2 linked regions of the Bombyx mori genome follow. The protein of the gene in region 1 purifies or fractionates together with the protein of each later gene. This does not show direct contact. Links are inferred from orthologs where the notes say so. Each region holds a gene or a part of one and is shown on either strand. Other genes may lie near its edges.

Region 1 (8,413 bases):
TGGTCATGTAACAATTCTTCTTCGTACTCTGGAGAAGATCATCAATGCGTGGGAGTGGGTAAGTATCCGATTTGGTTACTTCATTTAAGCGCCTGTAATCCACGCAGAATCTTACATTACCATTGGACTTCGGTATCATCAATGCAGGAGAGCACCAGGCGGATTCGCACTCTTCAATGATGTCATCTGCCAGCATCTTCTCTATTTCATTCTTCATCGTCTCCTTCTTGGAAGGGTTAAGGCGATAGGGCGGCACAGCTATCGGGGGGTGATCTCCGGTGTCTATGCAATGTTCTATGAATGGTGTCGGACCTCCCCCTGCTGTAAAAATACTTTCATGCCGAATAAGGAACTCGGATAATGCTTGGCGCTCAGCTGATTGCAAGTGCATACCTTCATCATCCCGAAGCATGTTAGTAGAAGCTATGCACACACCACGAGACATAGGTTCAAAAAGTAATTTATAATGCACCTTAGCATCAGTACTAAAATACCATTCATGACGATGAAAATCAATAATAACTTTGGCAGCATTAATAAAATCAATACCCAGTAAAGTTTCATTATCATTAGAATCAGGGAAGATTATAAATGGAATATCAATCACTATGTGTTCTAACCTCACTGGTAATATGGTTGTCAATACATTCATATTCCGAACATGCCCATCAGCAAGTTTGACTCGCCTAGTGGAGGGAGTAAGAGGGTGACCCTTTTGCAGAAGGAGAGCATACAGCGTGTGACCAGCAATACAATGCTTAGCTGTGTATCTATAAGTGCAGTACCCTGTTTACCGAGAACTTGAATTTTGAAAATAGGCCGTAAATGCAAATACCTATCATCACTCTCACGGTCGTACACGGACGCTACAACACTTCCCTCACATGTACAATAATTAAAATTCAAACAATTATCAATTTCCACACATTCGTTAATTTTTCCAAAATTACACTTACTGCCTTTTGTGTCACAGTCATGGTTAGTTGAAAATTTTAAATTATTACAATTTGGTTCAATTATTTGATTATAAGGTAAAATTGAGTTCTTACATTTAGGTCTAGTTCCCTGGTTATAACAAATATTTAAATTTTTACACTTTGTCCGAACATCCTGATTATATAAAACATGAGAATCACAAAAGGTTGGCATCTCATTATTACTAGTGCAATTACAGTTAATATTCTTTGACACAGAATCATTACAGGCATGAAAATAAGATTTTCTGGAAGTAGGGCCTCTGTTAATGGTAGCATAATTAATATTTGCATCCCGGTTACAAAAATTTTGACATTCAAAATTACTCAGAAAATTATTTTTGTCATGCTGCTTAACATCATACATTGCATTCTGAACAGGTAAATTAGAACTAATTGTGTTAGTATTATTAACATTACACTGAACACTATAAAACGCATTATTGTCATTTTGCACACCCTCGGAAAAGTTAGATTGACTTTGCTCACCTCGGTTGTTTAACTTACGGCACTGTTCCCGTGCATGTCCAAACCGTTTGCAGTAGGAGCACACTGGACGCTGTTTCTTCGTGGTCACGAATTGCTCTGCAGAACCTGGCACAGCAGCGGCAGGCGTGGCAGCGGCAGGCTGGGCGACAGCGACAGGCACAGCGGTGGCGGGCACGACGGCCGCGGCGGAGTTTGGAAAGCGCGCGCGCGGCGCCGGGGCACTCGCACGAGCGGCGCACGGTTCAGGCCGACTCGCAGCCTGGGCCGGCTGGGCACGGATCGAACGCACACCACTAGTGGACGACACTGGTCTCGATTGAGTCTCCTCTATCGAATCTTCTATATTCCGAGCATGGTTTAATAATGAATTGAAAGATGTGATTTGTTCACGGCGCAATCTTGTGCGTATTCTATTATGAAGCAACCCGTATATCATATCAAGTTGTACTTTTTCAGTAATATCATCCCGCGGTAGCTTTGCCATAAGCGTACGAATACGAGCAACAAACTTGTCTGTGTTTTCGTTATCCTGCGGGGAAGCAAATATTTCCAAATATATTCTATGTGGTGGAAGGCGGGTGCCATATGCATATATTAAATTTTCTTTGGCTTCGTTCCAAGTGGAGATGTGATGCTTTAATCCTAGCCACCACGTAGCTGCGTCAGCAGACAAAAGCATGGCTAGGCCTCGTATGATGTTAGCGTCAGATACTTGAACGCATTCTGTATAACTTTCAATTGCATCTATAAAGGCCTCAACAGATTCACCAGGTGCACCGCTGAAAGAAGCTCTGCAACGCGCCAAGGTACCATCTACGTTCACTGGGGGCATCGGCGGAGGTGCCGGAGTCGACGATCTTTGTTCCATCACGTACGACATAATGTTCTTAAATGTTTCGGCCTGCGAACGTTGCAGCGAGGCCATCAACGCTGAAACATCATCCAGGTTGAACGTAGAATTGTTGCTACGTGATTCGGCGTGGGGGCGATCATGGGGGCTATCATGCTCCTCGTGATTTTCGTTGGCATTTGCATCTGCAGCAGGAATAACGTCGTCTTCGCGACGTTGCTGGCGATCTTGATTTCTAGTTAAAGGCATTCTTTACAATTAAGCACCAACAGCATACAATAGTTAGCAAATTTTTCACAAAAGCGTGCGCGCCATTTTGTTAGTCCAAGCAAGAAAAAAATTAGGAAACGTTGGGCAGCCAGATATAGTGAGGGGTAGATCTCAGGGGTATTTAAAACTATGGGTTAGTCACCAATATCGACTTTCGAATTTTAATCTTCCTTTATCACAAACAATTTCAATTTTACACAATAATTACATTTAGACGCGGGCGCACGCTATTCACACTCAAAACGGAAGTGCCCGGAACATAGATTATACACTGTTGAAAAGATTGACATAGATGCTAACTATGTATAGCGAGCGGGCATACGGCCGCGAGAGTGACGTACCGGTCGGTTTGCTACAAATTTTATTTTATTTTATTTTATTTATTTAATAAGTTGCACCAACAAAGTGATCATCAATACAAAACATTGACAAATTGACAAAAGTTCATGGCAGATGTCACCTCAATTATAGGTGCAATCGACATTGCATTAACATCAAAAATAAAAATAAAATATACAGCTAAGAATTGGATACATTTCATTCATTGCTTAAGATTAATTTAATTGGGAGATGATCCGCGACAGATTTTTCCTGTAAGTAGTGAGACAATTTGAAAAAACATCTATTTCACTTAAAATAAGTTCAGCGCAATCGGACAACTCCGAAGGAACATTGACGGAGACCGCGCTACCGTGGACATTATTGTAGTCCCAAAGGATTCTGTTTAAGGGAGAGTAAGCACCTAAATTCGAACGAGCGGGCTTTCTTATAAACGGTTTATATTTCTTCGTTCTTGGTAGGTACTTAGGGATAATATATAATATATACATATCCCAGCAAATTTCACCTTTGCTGGCTGAAAGGAAGAAATTTGCTTTTTATCCCTACGCCAAATAAAAAAAAACACATCTGTCACTGATGACGTTTAACTGCTATTTTGACGTATTTATTTTGTCATATCACTGCCTACCTGAAGAATTAAAAATTAATAATTTGGGAAATCCTCATTCGTTTTCCGTATATTAATTGTTTCTTTGTTATCAATATTTAAAATGTCTAAAGATAATACACCGGTCAAATCACCTAAATCGCCAAAAGCAATAAAAACAGTAGAAGACTTCGAAAATCAGGTAATATTTTATTACCTACGCCTTCTTTCTTTTTGTATGTTAATAATTTTATTTACGTAGGTTTGTTTTCGCAGGACACACTGTTGAAGCATGTCGATATAACTATTGTGGAGTCGGAGAAACGAGCTAATGGTACTCTACACGTCAGAGATCATTACACAGTATATCTCGTCGATTTAAAGTAAGATTCAACTATGATTGAAATTACAAATTGCACCCAAATAGGCAGTCAATTAGACCAATTTGAATAGTTTACGGGTTGAGTAACGTTATACTCGTGGAGATTGGTTGCGATGGAATTTTGATTCTCCGAATTTACGCCAACCCTTGTGTTGTGTTTTCATTAACAAAAATAAAAGCGAAATAACACAATATTACAAAAAGCTTTATCACTTTATTTTTTTACTTACTTGCTCTTTTTGTCATTTGTTTAATCAATGTTTTAATAATACAATTTGAAGAAAATTTGATTAACACGCTCAAAGAAAATAAAAGTGATTTGTGAAAAAAATAATTTTCTCCGATTTTTTTTGTATTTACGCACTTACCCACATCATCGACTGATGCCTGACTGGAAACACTTGGACTAAACTAACATCATGAATATAATAATTTTTTATTTGCAGAGTTACAGATCCTGATTACAAATTAGTACAGTCAAAAATAAGCACAATCTGGAGGAGATACACTGAATTCGAACAAATACATGATTACCTACAAGTCACATATCCACATGTTGTTATACCTCCATTACCAGAGAAAAGGGTAAGGTCATATTTAAAATATAACCAAAATATGTCATAAGTGATGAAGAAATTAAATCTCCTATGTTTTAGAAAATTTATATTAATTACTAATTATTTTTTAATAACAATTGAGTTTTTTTAAAAACACTTAATATTTTAAGAAATATGTCTTAAATTCTTTGTTAAATTGTAAATTGAAATGGATCTAAAACAACAAGACGATTTGAGAGAAATGGTGAACTCTTTGTCATGAGATTTTGTATTGCATGAATTTGGTCCACTGTTAACAGGTGTTACTACAGATTATGTAGACTATTGTGCAAGACTCAAGATTTGCAGAAAATTCCTGTCCTGGCTTTAGAAATAATTTGAAAATACACTATAGAGTTTTTTTTAATTTAAATTTATTATGAGATTATATAGATAACATCTACAAAACAAAAAAAACACAACTAACATAAAAACAAAATTAGATTAATTTATTGAACAACAATAAATAAGTGATTATTGTTTCGTAATTATCCTTTTTGTCAGAAAAAGTATTACATACAAGCAACATCTGTTTACTTATTAGCAAATAGGATCTATTGTACCTGGATATATTATTTCGATCTAGCTGCCTTTATGATACATTAGGAAAACTTATAATTTATTTTTGGAAATTTTAAAGAAAAAAAAATTATATAAAGACTAAATTTTAAAATAATTTAACATAGTCTTTAATATCAGGTGCTTTACGCGTGGCGCAAATCGGACACTACAGACCCGGAGTTTGTGGAGCGCCGTCGAGCTGGCTTAGAAAATTTCCTATTACGAGTCGCATCTCACCCTCGACTATGTTTCGATGATCAATTCATTAATTTCCTACAAGAAGAACATGGTTGGCGGGAAACTATCACCGATAGTGGTAAGTTAAAATGCAATTTCCATATTATAAATAAATCTGAACACTATTTTAATAAAAAATATTGTAATAAGTATAAAAATAGAATACAACTCTAACATATACATATTATTATGTACAGAAATATTGATATAACTTTGACTGAACTAGCTAAAAGTTTTAGTAGTAGTAGTAAAGTAACTTATACTTGAAATTTCCAAGATCCATGTTTCCAGTTTCAAGAATAGAAAAGATATACAATACAGTTGAGATACTTCAACATCATGACTCTAGTTGTTTCGACATACTCACATTGAGATATCTTTTGACTTCTTTAACCAGACTACATCCAAGTGAGCTGGGAGCTTGTTCCATCTATGCAATTAATATTGAAAAAGCCTACTTAGTAATGAACAATTCATATTATTATTTTGAATTAGTTAAAAATCAAATAGATTTGTGGAGATATTACTCAATGATAGGCAGCGGTTTTGCTGTGATCCTGAAAGATAGTAACCACTCACTATCAAGTGTACCGTCTACTCGTCTACAAGGACAATAAAAAAAGTAATTGCATGACGTTTTTCCAACAGGATATTTACTACAAGCTGAAAATAAAATAAAATCACTGTCCGTATCTATAAGGTTGAAGAAGCCCGATCCTGAGGTTGAGTCCTTCAAAAACTACGGGAAACAATTAGAAACTAATTTAGGAAACTTTTTATATACAAGGTAAATGAAACTTATAAATATAAATTAAATTTAAAGTTATATAGATTGAAATAGTAAAGATTAAAATTAAACAAGCAGCAAGATAGTAACAATGCCCTAACACTTCGATATTCAAGAAATGAATCTATAACTACAATGTAGCACTAATGCCTTACATTTTAGAAGACATCTTCAGTGAAAAAGAAGCAATGGAGTTAATTATAGAAAACAATCTTCATATTGTACATTTTAACATTTTGCAACACTAAATATGCCCTGCTATTCAACTTTATTTAACTCTAAATTGATGTTAAAATTTATGAAACATTATCGTGTTACAATAGTTGATCATGTCACTCTCTCTGGTACTGAGGCTGCTAGTCCCATGCGGTTGCCATGGCGACGCTTGCTAAATATATGCGTTTCTATTATACCTAGAATAGTATATCCACTCTGATTAAGATTTACATAAAATCCGTTCTTAGTGAGCACTTAGATCACAAAAAAGAGTTTATATCTCAAAATTTTAAGTATATAATGAGTGACTGATATTTCAATACATATATACACTTGTTAATATTATTCAATATTTTACTTGTAGGTTAGTGACGTTCATCAAAATGTTCATGTAAAACCTCTTGTGAGTCCGCACGGGTAGGTACCACCCCACCTATTTCTGCCGTGAAGCAGTAATGCATTTTGGTTGGAAGGGTGGGGCAACCGTTGTAACTATACTGAGACCTTAGAACTTATATCTTAAGGTAGATAGCGCATTTACGTTGTAAATGTCTATGGGCTCCAGTCACCACTTAACACCATGTGGGCTGTGAGCTCGTCCACCCATCTGAGCAATAAAAACTAAAATATCAAACTTACTCAAAAAACTAATCATCCCAAAATTATTTTTCAGATCCAAAATAATAGAAAAAAATTACGCTCTATGTAAACTGCACGCGAATTACGGCAAACTGTTTAGTGAATGGAGCGTCATCGAGAAGGAGATGGGAGACGGATTGCAGAAGGCCGGACATTATTTCGGTAACGACTTTAAACTCGAATTTAGTTCTATCCGTTCGCGACTCGCTTCTAAAGCTGCTTTCAGACTGTGCTATACTATAGTGTCATATAGTATACCAGCGTATACTTAGCCAATAATATACAGTACAGTACTTTTTTTCTTCTTCTTTTTATTCATACCTAAGCTGATGGTCTAGAGAGACCATGTCATGTCACTAGTCGGTGAGCTCACGGGGCTCAAACCTGACGATGTTGCTAACACTGGCCCTAGCAAGAGACGTGCCTCGCAGAATCTTCCACCGGATCGGAAACGCGATCCACTGAAAAGATCAGGCGAGAAACTCAGTAAGCTGTGTTTTTGGGTTAATTTACTCACCGAGGCCTTTGTTGCAAGCGACGGGTTCGACGAGAACGATGACCGGTGCTTGGGGTACCTAAAAGCACCGTTAATGGATCGGGAGGATCCGAGCTGACGTGTTTTGGGCGACGTCGACTCAGTACAGTATGAACGTGTCTATAACAATATATAATATATGCTATTATGCTATAGCGTAGACTGAAAGCAGCTTAAAGCGCGAAATACACACAAACGGCGTAAGGATTAAGGCGCGGCGCACGCGTGGAGCGGATACGGCACGGACGCGATTTAAATTACTAGTGTCCCCGCGGTAGTCGATTAAAGAGCTTTTCTTCCCTCGATATATACTATTGTGACATTTGCTTATTGACTGCTAAGTTAAATTGATACTAGATGATGACCGAGCTTTGCTCGTTTTTTTTTTTTATAACGCCATCTTGTTGTGTCTAAAGCAGTAAAAATAGTATTATTATTCGCCAATAGATGTCGGGAAGAGTTATAAAGTTGATTATCGATAAAGTTGATTATTGAAAACACGAATAAAACAACATTTTCTGAAAATAAATCGTAGCTAGATCGATTTATCGCCCCCGAAATCCCCTGTATACTAAATTTTATAAAAATCGTTGGAGCCGTTTCCGAGATTCAGATTATATATTTTTAGCAACGGCTTAATAATTTAAATAAATAAAAAAAATACAAAAGTAGGTAGGAACGATCGACACAGAATATTAAATCTAAGACAAGTGAACGCTGCGCGCGCTGCTAGCCAAAGTGATCCGAGGTGGCGTGATGTCCCCGCTGGTCGGTCGGTTGCCCCTCCAGATGACGTCACGAGTCCACGTGAGTGCTCGTCATCAATGGCTCCGCCCATCGACTTTGACTTAAGAAGAAGTCGCCTCTAATACGGCCTCTCCTGACTGGTGGACGTCCACGTTCACCTCGATGTCATGACCGTCTTCAATCTCTGACGATGCAGGACTCA
Region 2 (7,392 bases), on another chromosome or scaffold:
TTAACATTAATAGAATAAATTCCTTGTAGAAATTGTAAGCTGGAAGTAAACTATTATACATACCGCTTGGCAGGATCTAACTGCAGCAGTTTGTCCAATAAGTCACAGCCGTAGGGATCCTTCACATATGGTTTCAGTCTTTCCTGTGTTTATATACAAATCTTAATTAGTATATAAGAGATGCTGGAATGAATATATACAGTATGCAGTGAAGAGAGAGCGGCATAGATGGGAAAATAAGTACACATATTGTTAAATGCCCACTGGACCAAACATCAAAATGTTCTCGACGCCCATCATGAGATATGAGATCTGAGTCTCAATAGTATTATTGCAGTGTGTGTTATGCAGTGTGCAGTGCAATAATAAACCGGCTGTTATTATGTATGTTCGTTTCTTTGCTCCTATATTCCGATATAACAATTATATAATGGCTGACAATGCTTTTGGTGGCTACGGTGATACAGAAATAAAATAACTAGTTGACAGTAGGCAAAAATACTTATTGTTTTTGTAAGAAAATATGTAATGAACTATGAAATGTTGACTTATGAGGCAGTGTGTTGAGCCTTGACCTTAAATATCATCTTGGAATGTGTGTTATCGGCCAAAGATAAAAAAAAAACTTTTTTTTTTTTCAAAAATGATTATGTCTTATTTCCACACTGCAATTGAGTACATAGGTACCCTGATTCTGACCAAACAGTCTTACTAAGCCAATAGATATAAAAATCTCAATGATTAAATTCCATATTCACCTTGACTTTCCTCTTTTGACCCTTTGGCAACTCCATTTTGTTGTAAAGATCCAAGTTCTCCACTCCGGGCCAGACATCAGGTGTACAGGAACCGCACAGCTGCGATATTAATATCAGCTGCTGCTGTTCTGTCGGACCCTGAAATATTACATTTCTAATCAAAGATCCATGGTAGACAAGAATTTTTTTTTTAACTGCTGATCTGTGGTGTATCGTCTGTCTTTCTGGAGCCTCAGCCTCTTAGTCTGTCATTTCTAAAACTATTCTATACATATTCTAAAAATAATAACATAAATATCTACAGAATATACAATTACAATAAAATTTATCAATTTGAAAAGAAATAATTCGTAGATTTTGTGACTCATTGTAAACCTTTATCTATGAACATCATTGAACCAATAAGTCTATCCAATAATACTCCATTAAATTTGGGGTTTATGGCATATAATTTGTGATCATTATAAAATTGCAAGTTTATTATTGAATAAACTCAATAGAGGGTTTGGTATTTTATGCTTTCCCATTACAAGAGCAGTGATTTTTGACTAGATAACACAAAAACTTATTACTGCATTTTTAAGCAAGGGCCCTGCATCTATTTCCTTTGACTAGATTTGCAAAAAAAACTAGATTAAACTGTAAAAGTAGTTTTAATCAGGTCGGTATCTTTGAAAAGTTTCAAACCTGCATGATCGGGGAGCGAGTCCACATTTCAGCCATGATACATCCGGCTCCCCACATGTCCACTGGTGGACCGTAGTTACGGTCACCTTTAATTAAATAAGGCATGTTAAAGCTGATACAACACACCACAGCTCATTTTTCATATATTTTTCTAAATGAGCAGACAAAGACAACTCACTATTACATGTTATTAAATGTTAGTTATAAGTTATTCAAAATCACTCCCACTATGAAAGATAACATAACACTTGTCTCCTTTAAACTAAAATGTATGACTGCTTCGATGCTTTAGATAAAAAAAAAAATGTTCTTGTAGGCAGATGAGCAGAAGGCTCATCTGATGGTGAGTGGTTGTAGCTTATGAACGTCAGCAATACTAGGAGCAAAGCCAAGCCGTTGCCTACCGTGAAGTACTCTCCACAAGCCTCGTTTGAAGAAAGACATGACGACAGACAGGCTCTCGGGAAACATCATGGAGGGGAGCTTACTTCAAGGCCTTACTACTTAGCAACAGGAGTTAGTAGAATAATGGTGCCCACTCATCCAAGCTCAATTTGTCTTATTACCAGAAATTATGGTTTACATAAAAAAACACTGTTCATTAATAAATAATATGTTTTAAAAACTCACCTAACAGCAATTCTGGAGGCCTATACCACAAAGTAACAACACGATTAGTATATTTATTGGCTTGTCCAGACTTTGCGACGCTGAATGCTCGAGCAAGTCCAAAGTCAGCCAGTTTTAATGTTCCATTCTTTGTTATTAGTACATTGGCAGCCTTCATGTCTCTGTGGAGTATTTTGTTGCTGTGTATGTAATAAAGTCCGTTCAGTAATTGTTGCATGACTTTTTTTATTTCGCCGAGACTGAACTTAACATTCACGTTCGATAGCAGGCCAGCTAGATCGTGTTCGCAGAAGTCGAACACCAAATAGAAAGTGGAACGGTATTTATTGTGAACCGTAGCCTTCGTGCGGCATATTTCTATCAAGTTTACAACGTTTTCGTGTTTTAAGAGCTGCAAGATCTTTATTTCCCGCAGGGCCGTGATCGGGAAACCCTCTTTTTCATTGTCCATTAAGACTTTTTTCATGGCAACAAACTTTTTGCTACTGTTTCTCGCGCGCGCTTTGAACACTTCACCGAATGTTCCTTGTCCGATTTTAGCTACTTTTTCGTATTTGGAAGACTCGTCGCAGAAGGGAAAGTCGAATTCCTCTATGTATTTCTCCTTTTCCCTCATGTTTAATATAGTTGAAGTTGTGCTTAAAACTGGTTGCGTGGGCTCCCGCGGAGCACTTACGCTTTGCATTTTGGACGTAATTTTGGCGGTTTTCAACGAACTTTTAGTATGAATATGATATTTTTAATTGTAGTGTAGACAAAGCTTTTAAAAAATTTCACATTAATTATGTTTTCACTTGGAAACGGCGAAATTTATTGATACCCTATCAGCAAAATCACAATAGGAAGAAGTGAAATGCAACACTGACTGAAGACTGTGACACTAATTAAAACGTCAACTGTCAATATCAATTTTTATTTTTTATTTATTGAATACGCAAAGAAAAGAGCCCAAATCAAAATGTTTTGTACCAAAGGCCAATGCCCGCCATATCTGTTGCTTAAAAAGTGAAGTAGAGTTAATTGAGGATTGGAATTAAATGAAATTAGATGTTGTTGATGGGCAGGTCCCCCTGCGCTGGTCAGACCAAATCCGTACCGCAAATACACTATCGTATTTGAGGTCATCTATAGCGTCGAGAATATATCGACGTATGGCGTAAGATAATCCACCGGAGAGATTCTGAAATCCCATAGAGGTCACGACCCACAGCATTGAAGATTTGGTCAATTGTCGGATGGCTAGAAATGAAACACACATTAAAACTTCGTAATTTAGTGGAAAAAGAAAATTTTGTAAGAACTTGAAAAGTCATACCCAGTGACTATTTCAAATATTTATGAGGTTTCGCATAGCGTTAAACGGTAAAATAGGCAGCGGTTATTACATATATTTTGGACTAAAACACTACCTATTGATCTACTCAATTTAACTTGGCTGAAGTTGTAACGAAAAAGTTAATTTAACAATAAAGTAAACATCCATGGTTTTAAATAACTTTATTAAGATGGTATGTACTGCTTTTCTTTGAATGTTATTCAGGTTACCACAATTTCTGTTAAAACAAATTAATTAATTTACAGTGTTTCTAAAATAAATGAAAATACAAAAAATCGACTAAAACGAAAGTATTGCTTGTAAGACATCTAAAATTGGTAAACTGTGAGTTTATAGGTTTTGATGTCAATGACCCTTAAACGTTGACATGAAAACGAATAAAGAGAAACGTCAATGTGTCATCGGAATTGATTTTTGTTTTTGTTACAAAAAGTTACACATTCACAACAATAGTAAAAGACGCTTCGAGGTAAATAACGCAATATTATACTAAAATTTGAATAAACTAAACATTAATTGAGTTTAATTGAGTTTAATACCTAGGCGCTTCGTGACAGAATTACTAAAGTAGGCCGACAAAAAGTGATTTCTTAAAAAAGTTTTATAAATTCTTTCTATCACTGCGTGTGCCGCTGATAAAACTATATGGACTAATACGAACACTAGTTATACGCCCATTTAAATTTACTGTAAATATATTTGAATAACTTTGGCGTATTATATTATTAATTAGAGATTAGTTATTAGATTAGTATTAGAGAAAATATTAGATTAGACTTTGATAATATTTATTATGTATATGTATTTATTGAAGTACGAGTATTTGTATCTATAAATATTATGTATGTTATATATACATATATTACTATGTTTAAGTTATATCACTATCACACTACACCTAACAAGGTTCATCTCTGCACCCTCCTAAGGTAGGTTGTCAGAGAATGCCTATGGCTTTAAGTCCGCCTTTATAAGTATATAAAGTTATAAATATATATTAATTCACGACACTCTTTCGATTTGTTACTGCCTCAAGAATAGCATCTAATTAGTACCTTCAAGTTTACGAGTTGTCTTAGAGGGTCTGTAAAGATAAACAATCTTACCTTTTTTACCATAGCTATCAAAGATGGCCTGTCTGGCATAAAACCTGGTAGTACTACTGCTGCCCAGAGGAACTAACTAGCTTTGGCAGCCATAACCACATTTCAGTTTCATAATAATAATTCATAGAATAGAATTTCAGAAACAAAACATGTAAACTAATTTAACAATTTTCCTTAATAGGACACTTATAACATCTACTAACTAGTTATTAACTATTAAATGAATTGAATTTATCCTAAATTCTGATCAATTTTCGATAGATTAAATATTAAAATTAATACTTTTATGTTTGGTGTGTAAATTATCTTGAAATATTCTTGTAATTAAATATTTAATTTTTTAATTTTTCGTGACACAAAAGTTTGTTTAAAAAATCCTTCCTTAAATAGCTGCTATACAACATTTTCGGAAATTACTGTCAAAGGCCCAGGAGATTTCTATAAATAAATCACATTCAATAAACAAATTATTATTTTTTAAATTTATTCTGATTTTCCAACAAATGATACACTGATTATGAAAATTGTTAAAAAGGTAACAAATAGTTCTTATCATTCTATACTCCCTCAATTGCAGGAAAATACATAGTAAAAATAACAATTATGCTCTAGCAGTGTAAATCACACAAAAATATAAACCGGCCAATAAAAATTAAAACAATAAAAACTTTATGGAGTTAAAAATTTTAAAATTAGCTCAAATAAAAAGAACAATATATAGATATATTATATTTCATTTGAAATCCATAGGCCTACAAAATAAATAAAAAATTGTAAAAAAAAAAACTGTTATCATTTGTTATTCAAAATAATGATGTAATGAAAATCTGAATATTCCAGACAAAATGGCCAGTGAAAGCAGTTCAGCAATGCTGGACATGACAGATGCTGACTCCGACGATATGGACATGCCGACTCTCATGGACGATCAGGAGCCATCACCGCTCATCATGGAGCACGGCTATGACATTGCAATTAAGGCAAGTACACCCAAATTGATTTTACAGTCCTGTTTTTAGCTACTTGATGGCTTATATGTTGATGCCAATACATACATTATTGCCATGATAAGTATTTCTTATTATATATACTCTTATACAGGGTGTCCCAGAAAGAATGGATAATCCTGAAACCCCTCATAGTAGAGCTATTGGGGACTCAAAATAAAACAATAAAAAAAATATTTCTTATGTAGTACCCAAATTAAAAATAAAGAAAAAATACCAAATTTCGTTCAGATTAACTTTTATAAAAAATTACACTAGCTACTCATAGGTTTTTTTTTATAGCTTTGATGCGTGGACGAGCTCACGGCCCACCTTAACTGGTTACGGGAGCCCATAGACATCTACAACATAAATGCGCCACCCACCTTGAGATTTAAGTTCTAAGGTCTCGTTATAGTTACAACGGCTGCCCCAGCCTTCAAACCGAAACGCATTACTGCTTCACGACAGAAATAGGCGGGGTGGTGGTACCTACCGGTGCGGACTCACAAGAGGTCCTACCACCGGTAAAAACTGCTGAAAAGCAGCTACAAAATTTTATTTAGAATTAGATTAGACAGCGTTTTACGGAATATGTTATGGTGTGTTGACTCGTGGCTTGGTGTTGCAGGTCGATGCCCCCATAAAACAGCTGTCGACCCTCGAGACGTATGTGACGTACCGGGTGCGTTGCGTGTGCGCGCGGTGGCCGACCCCGCCCAGCGTGAGACGACGGTACAATCACTTTAAGGTTAGCCTGATTCATGCATCCGATGTCTCAAGCTAGTGTGAAGAACTCTCATATTATGTCTCATATTTTTCAATGAGATTTGTATATATATTTTTTCCTATCTATGCTGATAGCCTTGAGAGACTATATATCAACGTTACCGGACAAGTAGATGAGCTCACGGGGCTCAAACCTGGCGAAGTTGCTAATGCTGACCCTAGCAAGAGCAGTGCTTTGCAGAATCTACCACCGGATCGGAAACGTGACCCACTAAGAAGATCCCGCGAAAAACTCAGTGGGCTGTGCCTGTGGGGTAATTTATTCGCCGAACCCTTCGTCGCAAGCGGTGGGTTTGACGAGAACGATGGTCTGTGGTGATGATGTCAGTGGATCGGGAGGATCCGTAATGACGTATTTTGGGCGACGTCGACTGTTTACCATTCGGTCTGCAGGATTGGGAATGATTTGTATAGAGATCTCAGCGCCACCTAGTAGACCTGACGAACAAGCGACGGAGCACTCACGACCACAGTCGAGGTCAGCATGCTCTGGGTAGTTCAGATCGCGTGCAGGGCGTGGCGGCTTGCAGGTGCTGCACAAGCGGCTGTCGGCGGCGCACCCCCTCACCGCGGCGCCCCCCGCGCCCCCGCTGCACTCCGCGCGCCAGCAGCTCGACAGATACTCGGCGTCGTTTGTCGCCATAAGGACCTTAGCCCTCAACGCGTTTCTAGGTGAGGAGACAATGATAAAGGATATTATAAGGATATTAAAACTATAGAGGATAGAAGTAGGGGAACACCAGCTCAGTGTTTTAAAAAGCGTCCGGTGTAAGGGAGTAAATTAGGTGGCGCCACAGGAGCAGCAAGTGGAGAGGTTAAAAAACAGCGCCATAAGCTACTACAGTTCACTTCAACCTGCGCGCACCTCTGTTTAAAACTGTTATATTCATATAATTCCCCCTTCCTACACTAGCGCTATGTCGGTGAGTGTTCCAACAACAACGCGCTGCTTACAGACGGACACTTTATCAACTTGTCCCCTATACAAGATGACGCTCATTACATTCATACTACCTGGTCTGACTGTGGTCATCCACAGTGCGTTTCCAGAAATATTTTTTGCCACGTACCGTCCGGCTTTGGAATGAGCTCCCCTCCAC

The links.
Region 2: the proteins of sorting nexin-4 (region 1) and sorting nexin-30 purify together in Homo sapiens (co-immunoprecipitation; 4 studies listed by BioGRID and IntAct, counting the BioPlex papers as one, with this or other methods). This does not show direct contact. The link is inferred for Bombyx mori from reciprocal best matches to the Homo sapiens genes SNX4 and SNX30.

What each region holds. Positions count from the first base shown.
Region 1 is NC_085115.1:12,909,706-12,918,118, reverse strand, and holds the start of sorting nexin-4, read left to right. Parts: upstream 1-3,494; 5' UTR 3,495-3,635; coding exon 3,636-3,713; intron 3,714-3,787; coding exon 3,788-3,894; intron 3,895-4,339; coding exon 4,340-4,478; intron 4,479-5,188; coding exon 5,189-5,366; intron 5,367-5,935; coding exon 5,936-6,074; intron 6,075-6,963; coding exon 6,964-7,091; intron 7,092-8,413. UniProt on the Homo sapiens protein: Involved in the regulation of endocytosis and in several stages of intracellular trafficking. Plays a role in recycling endocytosed transferrin receptor and prevent its degradation.
Region 2 is NC_085130.1:9,747,745-9,755,136, reverse strand, and holds the start of sorting nexin-30, read left to right. Parts: upstream 1-3,755; 5' UTR 3,756-3,880; intron 3,881-5,357; 5' UTR 5,358-5,362; coding exon 5,363-5,497; intron 5,498-6,134; coding exon 6,135-6,254; intron 6,255-6,822; coding exon 6,823-6,964; intron 6,965-7,392. Other genes in the region: Cdk9 (cyclin dependent kinase 9), read right to left, coding at 64-143, 759-896, 1,446-1,531, 2,076-2,760. UniProt on the Homo sapiens protein: Involved in the regulation of endocytosis and in several stages of intracellular trafficking. Together with SNX4, involved in autophagosome assembly.